Linked DNA regions of Struthio camelus. The protein of the gene in region 1 purifies or fractionates together with the protein of each later gene. This does not show direct contact. Links are inferred from orthologs where the notes say so. Each region holds a gene or a part of one and is shown in the gene's direction. Other genes may lie near its edges.

What was found. Proteins that work in one complex are often made in the same cells at the same time.
Region 2: the proteins of CEBPA (region 1) and MRTO4 purify together in Homo sapiens (affinity purification with mass spectrometry; 3 studies listed by BioGRID and IntAct, with this or other methods). This does not show direct contact. The link is inferred for Struthio camelus from reciprocal best matches to the Homo sapiens genes CEBPA and MRTO4.

What each region holds. Positions count from the first base shown.
Region 1 is NC_090951.1:12,257,282-12,264,357, forward strand, and holds CEBPA (CCAAT/enhancer-binding protein alpha), read left to right. Parts: upstream 1-4,391; 5' UTR 4,392-4,523; coding exon 4,524-5,498; 3' UTR 5,499-6,459; downstream 6,460-7,076. UniProt on the Homo sapiens protein: Transcription factor that coordinates proliferation arrest and the differentiation of myeloid progenitors, adipocytes, hepatocytes, and cells of the lung and the placenta.
Region 2 is NC_090962.1:12,996,789-13,004,185, reverse strand, and holds the start of MRTO4 (mRNA turnover protein 4 homolog), read left to right. Parts: upstream 1-4,331; 5' UTR 4,332-4,446; coding exon 4,447-4,474; intron 4,475-4,561; coding exon 4,562-4,620; intron 4,621-4,712; coding exon 4,713-4,816; intron 4,817-4,900; coding exon 4,901-4,982; intron 4,983-5,339; coding exon 5,340-5,407; intron 5,408-6,076; coding exon 6,077-6,228; intron 6,229-6,700; coding exon 6,701-6,777; intron 6,778-7,397. Other genes in the region: EMC1 (ER membrane protein complex subunit 1), read right to left, coding at 308-379, 975-1,142, 1,378-1,530, 1,895-2,021, 2,566-2,694, 3,136-3,229, 3,398-3,463, 3,734-3,858 and 1 more. UniProt on the Homo sapiens protein: Component of the ribosome assembly machinery. Nuclear paralog of the ribosomal protein P0, it binds pre-60S subunits at an early stage of assembly in the nucleolus, and is replaced by P0 in cytoplasmic pre-60S subunits and mature 80S ribosomes.

The sequences.
Region 1 (7,076 bases):
ACAGGTAAACCACTTACAGTTTCACAGCCTGATTGTACATGATTACAGGTGACAAACTGGAAACAGGTTGAGTTATGATCCCTACTGTGAAAGGAGGTGGGTGAGCAGTAGTCAGGCAGTGTCAGGAAGTGAAAAGATGCTCCCGGTCAACTAGTGTGGTAATTGCAAGTGACTGAGCTCTCAGGAGAGGAGCCAGGAGTGAGTAGAGCACAAGGACAGCACGTGTTGAGGACATGGCCACAGAGACCCTGAAGACAAGGGGAATGATAAGAAAAGGGAAGAGGAGTATAGCATAATTTATGTTTTTTCACCCTGGAGCTGTAAACATTGTTTCTCCAAATGAGAAAAGCCGTAATGATAAGTAATTCAGTCATCTGTCATTGGACAAACTTTGCACATCAGAAATGCTAATGAGTCACCAGTTGCCTTTCCCAGCTGAAGGGAAGGTCCTCTTTACTTGTCATACCATGCTGCATCCTGATCTACTGGCTTCCAAGGGGATTGGCTTTGGCACATAAAGCCTTTTCATTTGAAAATTGTCATGGTGTGGCAGCTTTTACATGTGCAGTATCATGTTTCCCCTCCCTGGGGCACAGGAGAGGGGAGAAGTGGGTGTTTTATTACAACACAAGAAGTAAGATGGTGGGCTGCTAGCTCTTTATTCACCCAGAAGACTACTGCTCCATGCCTGCCTGCTCCCATGGTACGCTTAGGGCACCGCGCTGTCCCCAGCTGAGGATATTGCCCCCCCCCCCCCCGTCATTCCCAGGGCAGCAGTACTCCTCTTCCTGCTCCACAGTGCCCATCCCTGCCCCTGGCCAACTCTGTCTCCTTTCCTCTCACCCCCTCCACAGGTGGGAGAGAGGAGGCGCTGGACTGTGCTGGCATTCACAGCTAGGAGAGCTTTGCCTGCAGACAGGGCATTCTGGAGCTTTGTCAAAAGCAATGAAATATTCTAATTTAACAAGGCAGTAAAGTAATTGTATAATGGCACTCTGCTTCCTAACTGAGGTGCTGCATGCCATGTCCGAACTATACTTCCAGGGCCTTGGACCAAAAGCAGAGTCCTGTAACGCCCGCTCGGCGTCTAAAGCCAGCCTGGATGTTGTAGCTGTACACACGAGGGAACCCCTTTTGCAGCCCACAGGAGTCGAAGGCCTGAGAACAGGACAGGAGCTGAGTCTAGGAGAAGTGAATGAGAATTCAATGCTCAGATGCCATTAAAAACCCCAGCAGTCACGAAATTCACTTGTATAAAGCAAATATATTTGCATTCCTTCATGATTATGACTTTCTTTTCAGTTTCCTTCCCTACTAACAGCAACCAGTACAACTAACTTGGTATAAATGACTTTTAGTGCTGTTCAGAAGTTTGGAGCAGCTTTTCTAATCCTTCTCTAGCTTATAGCTACTAGAGGCAACCTCTACTTTGAGATGGAAGAATAGCACCCTCAAGAGTTGACAGCAGTGCTGCTTCAGGGATCCATAATATGCAACAGACATCCTTCCTCTTTTAGCTGAATTAACTCCCGGACACATTGAAGTGAAGCAACAAGACAGAAATTTTTTCTTGATGTTAGATCTGAAATATTTGGTATCCATCTCTGTTAATGTGAATGTGGAAATAGGCATTTGTCTGAGAGATTATCAGCTTGTAAACGTTTTAGTTGCCGTTGAGGGAGGGACAAAAAAAGAATAAGAATGCTCTTATTTGTCGGAGTCTGGGAGTCTCATTTTAGACCGTATTAAAACAATTTGAACAGGAATTTATGTTTTCGTGCAGAAAGAGATTATTTAAAAGTTCTTAACTTAGATAAAAGGGGTCTGTGTAAAAAAGACTGAGCAAACCAGTCCTTAAGTTGTGGGGACTTGTTCGTTAATTACAGTAATTAGGAATGGAATCTGATCCTGAACTTTCTGATTTACTTTGAATGTTTTTTAATGTGTGCCTAGGCCTTAATTTCAAAATGATTATAAAATGTGAGAGTGTTTTAAGGCTACAGAGGCGTAGGTATTGTTATTAAGTGACAAACAGTTATATACTTCTGCTGTATTGCACAGCACTGATCTTTTATATTAAACGTGCACGGCCCCCTCCTGTTTCTGCTGACTTCAGAGTTAGATAAGGCCTTCGGAGTAAAACCGAACCTCCAGCTGGTGTTCCAGAAGAGAGCGTGTCCCAGTAGGCAAAATGTCAAGGGCTGGATTTGTCCCTTTTCTATGAATGGGATTGCTTGAGTGGAACAAGCAGAATTCAGACAGTCAGATGCAGTTGGGAGATTTTACTGTAGACTCTGAAGCATCCAAAGCTTGTTTCTGTCACAGGCTTGAGGGTTCTCTTCTGTAGCATGACCTTGTTCAGAGTTATTACTGGTATTTTGATTGTGCTACAGCTCCAAATCGACCAGTGAAATACCCCTTTCAGGAACCGCTTAAGTGCTGAAACCAACACGTACAATTTTAGAAAATATTGACCATGTATAAAAAGAATTTATGCTTGATTTTTTTCTACTGCTATTGAAAAGTGAAAGGTATATTCTGTAGTCTGTAAATTTACATTTTTCCCTGCTGTAGGTACAGACTCGATTCTCCTGATAGGATACTAGAATGCAACAAGGCTATCTGAATCTACGGGCCCTGCTTTTTGCTCATGAAACAGGTTCATATGTGTGATATGCAGTACAAAAAAAGGGTTCATTGAACACTGTAGTTTTGTTTCCTGTTTAAGACTTTGTCCCATACTATTAATTGCAAGGAATGTTTCAAACCCTTTCTGAGCAAGCAATTTACTGTGTCACAAGTTTCTGGTTTACTAGGACATCCAGGACGAAGAATTACAACCCTTCCCCCACCCCCTCACCCCAGCCATCACTATGTTGGAATCGTTTCCTCTGCAGATCTTGCTCTGGCAAATTTAGGCTGCACCTGGTCCAGTGGCTTTGGCATGTCCTTTCTCTTGTGCCAGTTTCAAAGCGAGCTTCTGGACCAGCAGTAGCTGAATGCCTGGGTGGCTTCCTGAGGTGCACCTGGAAGACAAGCAAAGGGCCAGAGAGGGAAAACAAATAGATCGGTCCGCTCTGCAGACTGCCAGGGATAGCAACAAGAGGAAATTCTGTGCATCCTTACCCCTCCCGAGCTGAAGCGTGAAACTCGGACTCTTAGGAAGTCCGTGGAGCTGCTGCAGGAACATACTGCGCTACCCTAGGAGAGAGGTCACGGTAGCTGAGAGGTGCAGGTCGTGTCTGCAGTCGGCGGTGCGGGAACATTGCTTTGCCCCAAGCAGCCAGGAAGCGGAGGCTGGGAAGGCAAACAGTGTCTCCAAGGAGGCTAGGGCTGCAGGGCCGGGCGCACGGCAGGCCGCCTGGCTGCTGTGCCGCTGCACGGCGCGGGGAGCCGGGGCCCAGCTGCACCCGGCTTCGTCTCGGGTTCGCGCCGGCAGCCGGCCCGCGCCCGTCGCGGGTCTGCGGAAACCTGCAGTCACATTTACCTGCTGGGTTCGGGCGGGGGGCGCGGCGAGGGGGGAAGGCACCCACGCGTTCATCCCTCGCCGCGGGGCGCCGGGCCGGGCCCCCCCCCGCGGCGCGGCGGCAGCCCCGGCCGCCCGAGCGGCGCCCCGCAGGTGCCCGCGAAGGGCTCTTCCGCGGCCGAGGCGGGCGGCTCTCGGGCCAAAGCAAACGCGCCAGCAGGCGGGCAGCCGGCCGGCTGCGGAGCGGGCTGCCCGGGGCGCGGGGGCGCTCACCGCCGCCCGGCCGACCGCCCCGCCGGGGAAGCCGGGGCGCCGCGGGATGCGGCGCAGCCTGCCCCGAGCCCGCCCGGCAACAGGGCGCTCTGGGCAGGTAACGCCCGCCGGCGAAACCCCGCCGTCGGTGCCCTGGGCAAACACGGCCGGGCTCCTGCTCCAGACTGGCCAAATATTTGCCAGTAAGCGCGGGGGGTGGTGAACTTTGAGACTTTCTCCGCAGCTAAGCCGGGGATTTGCCGGCTCGGGGAGCGCGGCGCAGGGCTGGCAGCGGGCGGTGCAAACGTCCCGGCCGCCTTGGGCCGCGCCGCCCCGCCGAGCGGCGCCGGGGAGCGCGGGCGCGCAGCGGCCCGGCCAGCGCGGAGCGGCGGCGGCGGGGGCGGCGGGGGCCGCGGAGGGGCCGGGCGGCGCTGCCAGGGCGCTAAGACCCGGCTGCGCGGCGGTCAAAGGTTCCCAGCAGGAGGTTGGACACTAGAGGGCGATCCCCGGCCCTGCTGCGGGCGTGTATATATAGGGCACGCAGGACCGCGGCAACCCACTAGCAACGGGGCAGGCAGGCAGCGAGCGGGGCTCGGGCGGGCTGGGGCGGGGGACGGGCTCCGGGCGAGCGGAGCCGGGCCGGGCCGAGCCGAGCCGGGCCGGGCCGGGCCCGCCGCCGCCGTGCCGCTCGCCGCCGGGGGGCCGCGGGGCGCCGCGGGCTTGGCAGAGCCGCCGCCGCCGCCGCCCCGTCCGAAACCTGGATTGCAGGAGCCCTTCACCATGCCCGGCGCGCTGTAGGTGCTTCATGGAGCAAGCCAACTTCTACGAGGTGGACTCGCGGCCCCCGATGAGCAGCGGCCAGCACCACCAGCTCCAGACTCCCCTGCCCGGCAGCGCCTACAGCTACAGAGAGGCTCCCTCGGCGGCGGCACCTGCTGCGGGCGGCGCGGAGCTCGGCGACATCTGCGAGAACGAGAACTCCATCGACATCAGCGCCTACATCGACCCGGCCGCCTTCAACGACGAGTTCCTGGCCGACCTCTTCCAGCACAGCAAGCAGCAGGAGAAAACCAAGGCCATCCTGGCTGGGGATTTCGACTTCCACAGCATGCATGGGGCCGGCGCCGCCTCCTCGGCGCCGGGGCACCAGCCGCAGCACCACCAGCAGCCGCTCTTCGGCTGCGTGGCCGGCTACCTGGACGGCAAGCTGGACCCGCTCTACGAGCGCATCGCGGCGCCGGGCTTGCGGCCGCTGGTGATTAAGCAGGAGCCCCGCGAGGAGGAGGAGGTCAAGTCGGCGGCCCTGTCGGCCCTCTACCCCCACCACGCCGCGCAGCAGCACCCGTCGCACCTGCAGTACCAGATCGCGCACTGCGCGCAGACCACCATGCACCTCCAGCCCGGGCACCCCACGCCGCCCCCCACGCCCGTGCCCAGCCCGCACCACCCGCACCACCCGCACCCCCCGGGCGGCCTGCCCGCCGGCGCCCTCAAGATGCTGCCCGCCGACCACCGCAGCAAATCGAAAAAGACAGTGGACAAGAACAGCAACGAGTACCGGGTGCGCCGGGAGCGCAACAACATCGCGGTGCGCAAGAGCCGCGACAAGGCCAAGCAGCGCAACGTGGAGACGCAGCAGAAGGTGCTGGAGCTCACCACCGACAACGAGCGGCTGCGCAAGCGGGTGGAGCAGCTCACCCGCGAGCTGGAGACTCTGCGGGGCATCTTCCGGCAGCTGCCCGAGAGCTCCCTGGTCAAGGCCATGGGCAGCTGCGCCTAGCGCCCGCCGGCACGGACTCGGGGCGCGCCGCGCCCGCCGCTCACCCGCCCTTACCTATCTCTATGACTTACATCGGAGCGCAGCGACCTGAGATTGTTTCACGGGGGGTTGTGTTTTTTTTTTCTTCTTCTTCTTCTTCTTTTTTTTTTTTTTTGGTTTGGAACAATTAACGACCAATAAAAGAAGCCAGGCAGCTGTAGTAGTATTAAAAGGTTTGTGCCTTAGGGACGACACACGAATAAGCTGAAGAACATGGTGGGTTTTATAAGGAGAAAGGCGAAGGGAAGGGAGAAAAAAAACCCCACGTGTCTACACAGGGTAAAAATAATAATAATAAAGCACACAGAGCAACCCACGTTGTGCCTTAAAAGCTGGCTGCAGGAGCTCTGGGGCTTTCTGCTCCCCGCAGCCTGGCAGGGCCTGAGGGAGAAGGGCGAGGGACGTGCGGGCAGGCGGGGGTCCCGGCTGGGGCAGGCTGGGGCCTCCCCGCGCGGCCGGCCTGCAGGCGAGGGCGCGTTGCGGGGCGCCCAGCGAGAAGGGCTAACCAAGGCTGAGAGGAGCTGGGCGCCGTGGTTCGGAGCACCGAGGCGTGGGAGAGCTGCCGGACTGCTAGCCGGACTGTCCCCGCCAGGCTCTGCGCCTTTCGGGGAGCCCCCTGGGCGCCCAGGACTGCGAGGGAGCACGGTGACCTCCTTCCCCCGAAACGAGGAGCAGCAGCGTCTTGTACTGTATGTCACGGCATGGCGAAGCACAAATGAATAAATACCTATCGATGCGGGTATTTACTAGGAACTTTCAGTGTATTTTGCTTTATTCCAGGACATGGAGCTCCTCGGTCTGCCCAAGCTGTGCCTCATGTAATGTGAAAGCCTTTCCGTGTATACTAGCTACACTTTATTTTTATTGCATTACTTAGCTCTGTGCCATCACACGACTTCCTTATCTGGTGACAGAGACTATGCCCTTGTGCTGCAACGTTATTTTATGATGTGTGTGGGTGGGTGTGAGCGCGCGTGTGGCCTTCCCGGCGAGGGCCGGGGCGGCGGGCCGGGGGGACCGGGGGGCCGGGGCGGCGGGCCGGGGGGGCCGGCGGCGGGCCGGGGGGCCGGGGCGGCGGGCCGGGGCGGGGGGCCGGGGCGGGGGGCCGGGGCGGGGGGCCGGCGGCCGCCGCGCAGCAGGCCCCGCGCGGCGCCCGGCACCTTTGGACTCTGGAGCTTCCCCCGGGCGGGGAGAGAGAGAGGAAAATAAACGGCGGAGCGCGTCCCCCGGCAGCCGGCGAGGGCTTTCCTCCCGGGGCGGCCGCGGCCCGAGCCGGGTCGGAACAGGCGTCGGGGGAGAGGAGCGCAGGGCGCCCGGGGCGCGTGTGCGAAGCGTGCGTGGGGCGTGTGCGTGGGCTCGGGGTATGCCTATGTATATGTATATGCACACACATTGGTGGGGTGGGGTGTTTTTTTGTTTGTTTGTTTGTTTTGAATTCGTGGGGAGGGAGGGGGGGACACCCCGCATATAAAGTTTGTCCAAGTCCTGGTTACATTCATAAATAAACAGCATATATCCTACCGTCACCCGCCGCCTCCC
Region 2 (7,397 bases), on another chromosome or scaffold:
AGAACGGAAACCCTCCCTAGATAGGTAAAGCTGATTCATGGCTTGCATACAAGCAGATTACACAAGCCTAAAACAGGCTACATACAGAACAGCACGTTTCACAAAGTTAGAAGTAGCTTTAGCTGGATGTGATCAAGGTCTGCTTGCCTTGTCTTCATATGTCTGAGAAACTAATTAAATCTTACTCTTTTTGAAATTACTAAACATCCCCGGGCCTGTGAAGGAAAACTCTTGCGGAATCCGACTCCAGTGCATGTCCCTATTACAGAACCGCGCTGGTCACATAGTACAAGCAAATTGTATTCACCAGTTCACTCCGGCAGGTGAGGACAGCAGCCACAGTTTTCTCCCCAGTCGTTGCAAAGCTCACCAGAGCTGCCTGAAAAAAATTTAATAGGAAAGCATAAAGCCAACAAAAACAACAAAAAAACTACCTGCGCAGGAAAGTATGCCCTGATGAAGTTAACAACATTTGATCCCCTACAGCCAAATTTCAAATTTCATCGTCTCACCAAAGATGAAATTACACCTCTTAAAAGACCAAAAACAGTTCTGTCAAAGAAGTAAATGGTTGACCTGCACAAGCTTTTGAACCACAACCTCTAGTATTACTGAGCTTTTTAAAGCTTTTTCACCTTTCAAAACTTCTCAGCTGGCCTAACAAGAGTACTACTATGCCACTGGTCTCTTAGAAATGCATGTCTCTGTCCAGCTCAAACCTAGATTTCCCCCCACGCTAACAGTTGTTAGCCACAAAGCATGCCTAAACTGATGTCTGAAACTATTTTAACAGCTAATATAAATGAAATCAAATGGTTCTCAAATGTTGCAGCAGAAAGCACAATTGAAATGGGAAACTCGGCAGCTTGTTCACCATGCTTAATATAAGGGAAGGTTTCTGTTTGTTTCTAAAATCTTAAGCTGTCGTCAGCCCTCCCAGTTAAGAGTTCTGCAGCTGCATCTATCTTGGTTACCTGCTGGAAGTCCCGAAGGTGGCTGAGCAGCCCGTGCCTGTATTGCAGCAGGGAGAAGTGGCTCGGAGACAGCTGCAGGAAAAACTGGGTCCGCGAAGCACTGACGAGATTGGGTTGAGTGGCCAATATCCTGGGTTGGAAGCCATCAGCAAACTCCAGGTCAAGCGACTGAGAAAGGGAGATCAGCGTATGCGTTCAACAAAACTTTTTCTCTGGTGAACCCAGTACCTTCCTTTTATAGCCAGCAATGCATGCTTTATAAAGACGCTGCCCATATGAGGATAAACATGGAACAGAAGCAAGGAGGCCTGGACTAACACTGGAGCAAAGCTCTGGGGACAATCCATTGGGCATGCTTAGTTGGGCAATTAGTTACTTACGATGCTCTGTTAGCACTGCTCACCTGCAGTGGGATCTGCTTCATCTCCTGCTCCGTCTCCAAGGAGCAAACATAGAGCGAGTGCGCGTCCATGTCCACGCACACCAGCACTGCCTCCCCGACCACGCCGCACGCTCCATTTAAGCTCTTCAGCCACGGGGCTGCTATTCTGATCTGCTGAGCAAGAGACACGCGAAGTTGTCAACAGCAGAAAAAACTTTGAAGAACCAACACGGCTGTGACCAAGATATTTAAGTCAGAAGTATTTTTACCCATGACCCTGGGATAAACTGTCTATTAGCCTGAGGTTTCCAGGATAGTCTTGACTCTGCCAGATGCAAGTCTGACTAACTTTTGCTTTCGGGGCATTCAGCAGTGGAAATCTATTTCTTGACCCAAAGGTAATGCCACAGGGAAAGGAAAGTTTAGTCTCCGCTACAACAACAACAAATTACTCTGCACATCACACCACAGCCATCTAGTACCATCAAAGTCAAGCTGGCAACAAATCCAACGTTTTGAATCCATGCTCAAGGACTACCTGTTTTGTAATTTCTCCATCCTCTACGCTGAAGGTCAGAACATTCAAGTGGCTCTGAGGAACAATTCCAAGTACGTGGATCACTCCAGTCCCGCGGGAATACAATAGCTGGTACTGAGTACTCTCACTGCAAGAGAAGCAGCTGCTGTAAAGTAACGGTCTTCAATCGCCACTCAAAATCACACTTACATTACTCTATCATGGGTCTTGCGAGGAAAGACTGACTCAACTTCTAACTTGCTTGTTCCAGAAGAAACATTCTGCCTATCAACACAAACGCTTTATGGACATCTCACCTTCAGTCACTGCTTTCTGCAGTGAAAAACGTGAAGATGATAGAGACATAACAGGTGGGGAATTCCTCCACCCTTCTCTTACAGTCTCCCCAATATTCCTTTCTATACAATTAAACACAAAATAGTTTCTGGTTTCAGACAGGAGGACCTCTTTCATTTCTTTGGAAAGAGCACTCCATTGGCAATGCTCATAAAACACGTGAAGTCCTCTCTCTCTTAATTCTGTCTTACCCTTTCAGAAAGTAACTGCTAACTTTATTTGTCTTAGTACCAAACTAGTTTTCCTAAGTAAAAGAGAAGCACAGCATCCCCTCCTCCTCAAGAAATTGGGTTCCATGTCTGCAACCGAAGCTTCTGCTTACACTATTTTCTTACCTTTCTGGTAGATGCTCTACCCATTTCTGGTGCCCATTGGACAGGTAGTGAAGAGAGACAGCTGCCTTCTTCAGGACTGCCACATATTTCACTGTGTCCTGTAGCCCCACCAAACTAGCCATCTGGAAACTAAGCACAGGTCAGAGGCAGCAGCTTAGAAAATGATGTTTATGAAGAACTCACCCTGTTTAAAGACCTTCTTCAAACATTCAACAGCAAACTTAAACTATAATTTAAATATATAGTCCACTTTACCTATCCTTAGCGATTTGAACAGAGAGGAGAAGGCTGGAATGCAAACACCTCAAATCAAAGTGGTACCTTCCATGTTTAATATGTTGTACGCTGGGGGAGAAAACCTACCTATGAAAGGATTTGTATCTCTTCCTCCTACCTGGTTGCCAAGGGGTGGAAACAGCATTAGGCCTGACAGCAAGCTGCAGGGATTCCTATAGTATTCATCCATGTTTATTTTAGAAACGTCACACCTAACTAACGTTTCCCTAGAATACAACTTCTCCTTCCTACACCAGCACACTGCAAAGGGAAAGAGACAGTCCAAACACTCACCTGCCGGTGTCCAGTGAGGTCTCCCAGTTCAACCCACCAATGTTGGTCTCCCACGAGCGGAGAATGCGCCCACCATTGGACACAGTGATGGCATCTGCACAGAAAACGATCAGAAGGACATAAATACAGGACTTGTATCCACCACAAATCAGTGAGGCATTTAGCTTTGGCAAGCCTAACGGTTACTCCGACAACTCGTGGCTGGGATCCCACACGCAAGGACAGTTACTAACCCCAGCGTGCCATGTAACGTTCTTCTTACCCTGTCCGTGGATCAGCATCGCATCTATTGCTCCTTCGGGAGTTCCCTTATCTACATGGCGCCACACTGAAGGAACAAAGAGTTACGTAAGAAACAGATTCGCTCCCCCAAATGCTTTTATTTGTTATTAGGTTTAAACCTGAGTTTTCTGCAGCAAAAAGCTCCTGCAGCCCATGCATCTGTCTGTCCTAAGGGATAAGCTTTTGAGCTGCAAGCTGATAAAGCAGTCTGAGCAATATTAATTTATCAGTATGAAAATGAAGTGCTAGGCCCACTACAATCAGCAGATGCCCCAGGAGAAAAGCCTGTTGGGCCCTAAGGCCCCACTTCACTCACGGATTTCGCCGTTCCTGGAGTTCAGCGCAGCCACGACGTTCTTCTCGGTGGCCACAATGAGCTTCTTTGAGCCCTGCGAGGCCTCCAGGGAGGCGAACTTGAGCTTGCCCACATACTGCTGCCTCCTGGGGGAGGGAAGGAGGGGTGAGAAGGCATCGCAGGGAGCCTCACCCGGGGCAGCGGGCAGGGGAAGCCGCCACGGGGAGGCTAACAGCAGGACGGAGCACTGGGCAAGTACGGAGACGGGGAAAATCCCGGGAGAAAGGGACCCCTCTCTCCCCCCCGTACGCACACACCGGGAACGCGGCCTGCCGTACCGGACCGGCGCCGCAGACAGGGCAGGCCGGACCGCGCCGCCGGCCCCACGCAGCCGGCAAGCCCGGCCCCCTGGGCTCCCCCCCCGGCCTCGGCCCGCACCCACCAGTCGAACTTGCCCACTTGGTCCTCGTAAACGGCGGTCACCAACGGCGACAACTGCAGCAGCAGCAGCAGCACCGCCGCCGCCGCCATGACAGCGGCCCGCCGCGATCCCGGCGCGCCCCGCGGCGGCCGCAGGGGGCCTGGCGCCGCCGGGGCCGCCCGCGCCGCCGCCTGAGCGGAGAAGCGGCCGGCTCAGGCGCGGCGGCGGGCAGCCCGCGGGCGTTCCCAGCTGCCCCCGCGGCGCGGCGCGCAGGGGCGGAAGGGGGGGGGCCTGGCGGCGCGGCGCGGCGGCCATGCCGAAGTCCAAGCGGGACCGCAAGGGTGAGCGCCCCCCTCCTTCCCCCGCTCCTCGCCGCCGGCGCCTCCGCCGCCGCCTCTAACGCGCCCTCTCTGCTCCGCTCTCCGCAGTGTCCCTGACGCGGACGCCCAGGAAGGGGCTGGAGGCCAAGCAGGCCCTCATCGCCGAGGTGAGTGCGCGGCCGCGGCCTGCCCCCCCACGCGCCCCCCCCCCCGGCCGGGCCGGGCCGGGCCGGTCTCACGGCTCCCTCCCGCCTCGCAGCTGCGGCAATGCGTGGACACCTACAAGCACCTCTTCCTCTTCTCCGTGGCCAACATGCGCAACAACAAGCTGAAGGACGTGAGGAACGCGTGGAAGCACAGCAGGTGAGCGGGGCCCGGGCCCGGGCCGAGCGCGGCCCTCCGTCCGCCGCCGCCCGTGCTGAGGTGCTTCTCCGTTTGCCGCCTCAGGATTTTCTTCGGGAAAAACAAAGTGATGATGGTGGCGCTGGGACGGGAACCGGCCAGCGAGTACAAGGAGAACTTGCACAAGGTACGTGGCGGAAGGCTAAAGCGTTTCGGTGTCTGAATCATCTCGCCCGCACCGGCTGCGTCGCCAGCAGCTTGCCAAAACGGTCGCTTTTATCGTCGGGGGATAAACTTAAATCAAGACAGAGCTTTTTCAGAACACCTTTCTGTGTATGTTTTGTCCTTGACTTAGTGCATCAGTATGAAACAGTACCCAAGAAGAAGATGTCGGGGTTGATTATTAGTAGAATTGATTGCACAGACTTCTGTGTTATTGCGGACTTTCGTAGCTGCGCTGCACCAAACTCCAGAAAACGACGAGGGCCCGGATGCTGCCTGTAAGGTGTACTGTTGAATCCCATGGGTGGCTTATTTCTTCCAGGTCAGCAAACATCTGAGAGGTGAAGTCGGTCTCCTGTTCACGAATCGCACCAAAGATGAGGTGAACGAGTAAGTACGCGTGCGACCGGCAGCTGTGATACCAAAGTGCGGAAAAGGCCTTTTTTTTTTTTTCCTTCACTGGCTACTGGTGGTGGTGGCGGCAAACCTGCCGCTGCGCTTACCGCTGCTCTTAAAACCATCGTGTTCTCATGGGGTTTTTCCCCTTGTTTTGCTCTGGCATCGTAACGTTGAAGGCTACAGCAGGGAAAAAAAGCTGCGGTGGGCTACGCTGCGATTAAAAAGAGTGCAGAAGGGCAGTCCGTTTCACGTGGCTCTCATAACGCAAAAGCTGTGCGCACGAGAACAGGGAATGCTAACAGCTGAACTGAGCAGTAGGTGAGGATAGCTGGGGTGATTACGTATATGCACCTCCTGCCTGTAAGTGGAGCTGATGGGGCTCTTTGTTCGTGTTTCTTCTGTTTGAATTTAACTCATAATCTATAATTTTCTTGTGTACCTACCTACCCTCTGGAATTCCGTTACGGATTTCTGTTCGTCTGCTTTACATCTAAAGTTCTTTGGACGTTTGCAACAACGGAGGGTTCCGCAAAGCCCACAGTTAAATGCAGTCTTGCAATTTGCTGCCTGATGAAGAGATCAGCCAGGAACGATCTCAGTCTCAGGCCAAGGGATGTTCCTTACGCAGCTAATGCTCTTGTTACCTGTCCCTTATCTCAGCTGGTTCTCCCAGTTCAAAGAGGTGGACTTTGCCCGTGCGGGGAACAAGGCAACATACACAGTGAGCCTGGACACAGGGCCCTTGGAGCAGTTTCCCCACTCCATGGAGCCTCAGCTACGGCAGCTGGGGTTGCCAACGGCTCTAAAGAAAGGTAGGTGAACTTAATTCCCCTTCTGCCACTTAAATTTTACTTTACGAACTTTTGCTGCAAGTTGCTAAAGGTTGCTGCCATCTTAGTAAGGTCTGTGCAGACAAGGTCTTTTAAGGAGAAGGTTAAATAGTAAGGCAGGATTGAAGGACAGCGGTTGAGAAAGTCTTGGTCCTGGCTTTGCATCCATAATGGCTGAAGTGGGTATTTGGAAGTATTTGGAAGCCTATTTCAAGAACTGATGCTTGGTACTAACTCATACATCTGCCATGGTTATGCTCCTGTCTGTTCTAAACGCTGTCAGGTCAGAAGGTTGTCTTTTGGTTAAAGCTGGCTTGTCAGCTGCCACGGGCTTCATGTAGGATGGTGAACCAGGACTGGCAGGAAGTTCTGATGAATCCAACAGCCCCGAGCTGTTTTCCTCACGGGGTTCCCTCTCTCCGAGACCCAGCTCCTCTCCCTTTTGTTCCTGCAGGAGTGGTGACGCTACTTTCAGACTATGAAGTCTGCAAAGAAGGGGACGTTCTGACCCCTGAACAAGCTCGTGTCCTGGTGAGTAATGCTTTAACACGGCATCTAGTAGCAAACTAGTAGCTCCCCTGCATCTTTCCAGATACACAACTATTGTTAACCGTTGGGTTTAATTCTCCTGGAGGGTATGAGTTCTCAGACAAACGTGAACAGCGCTTCTCGATATGAATCAGTAGGACGCAGCTAGTGTTCTTGTGTGTTCTTAACGTGCATGCTGGAACTCTGCTTTGGCTCTAAGGCAATAGTACTGAAGACCGGGGTTTTAACACCCAGTCTGAAGAGCTGGTAATCCAAAATGCACTGGAGGCCAAGTTGGCCATTAAGCAGTTACTACTTCAATATTTCTTAAACGCTAACAATCAGCAACATGAGAAACCCTCTACTAACTCGTGCCTACTAGAGAAAGTGACTGTTCTGCACAATATTTCCTGACACTAACTTAGGTACTACCTGTAGGGGAAGCTTTTGACACCAGCTGTGAAAGCAGAACAGTATTTAATTGGAATAGACCTATATTCATCTCTGAACTCTAGCCCCAAGCGGCTGCATTCAGATGTTCTGTAGTTTTAAATCTAACACTTGCTTTGCTTCTTGCTTTGCTGCAGTCCCCACGTGGAAGAGTTACTTAGGGTAGGTATTTT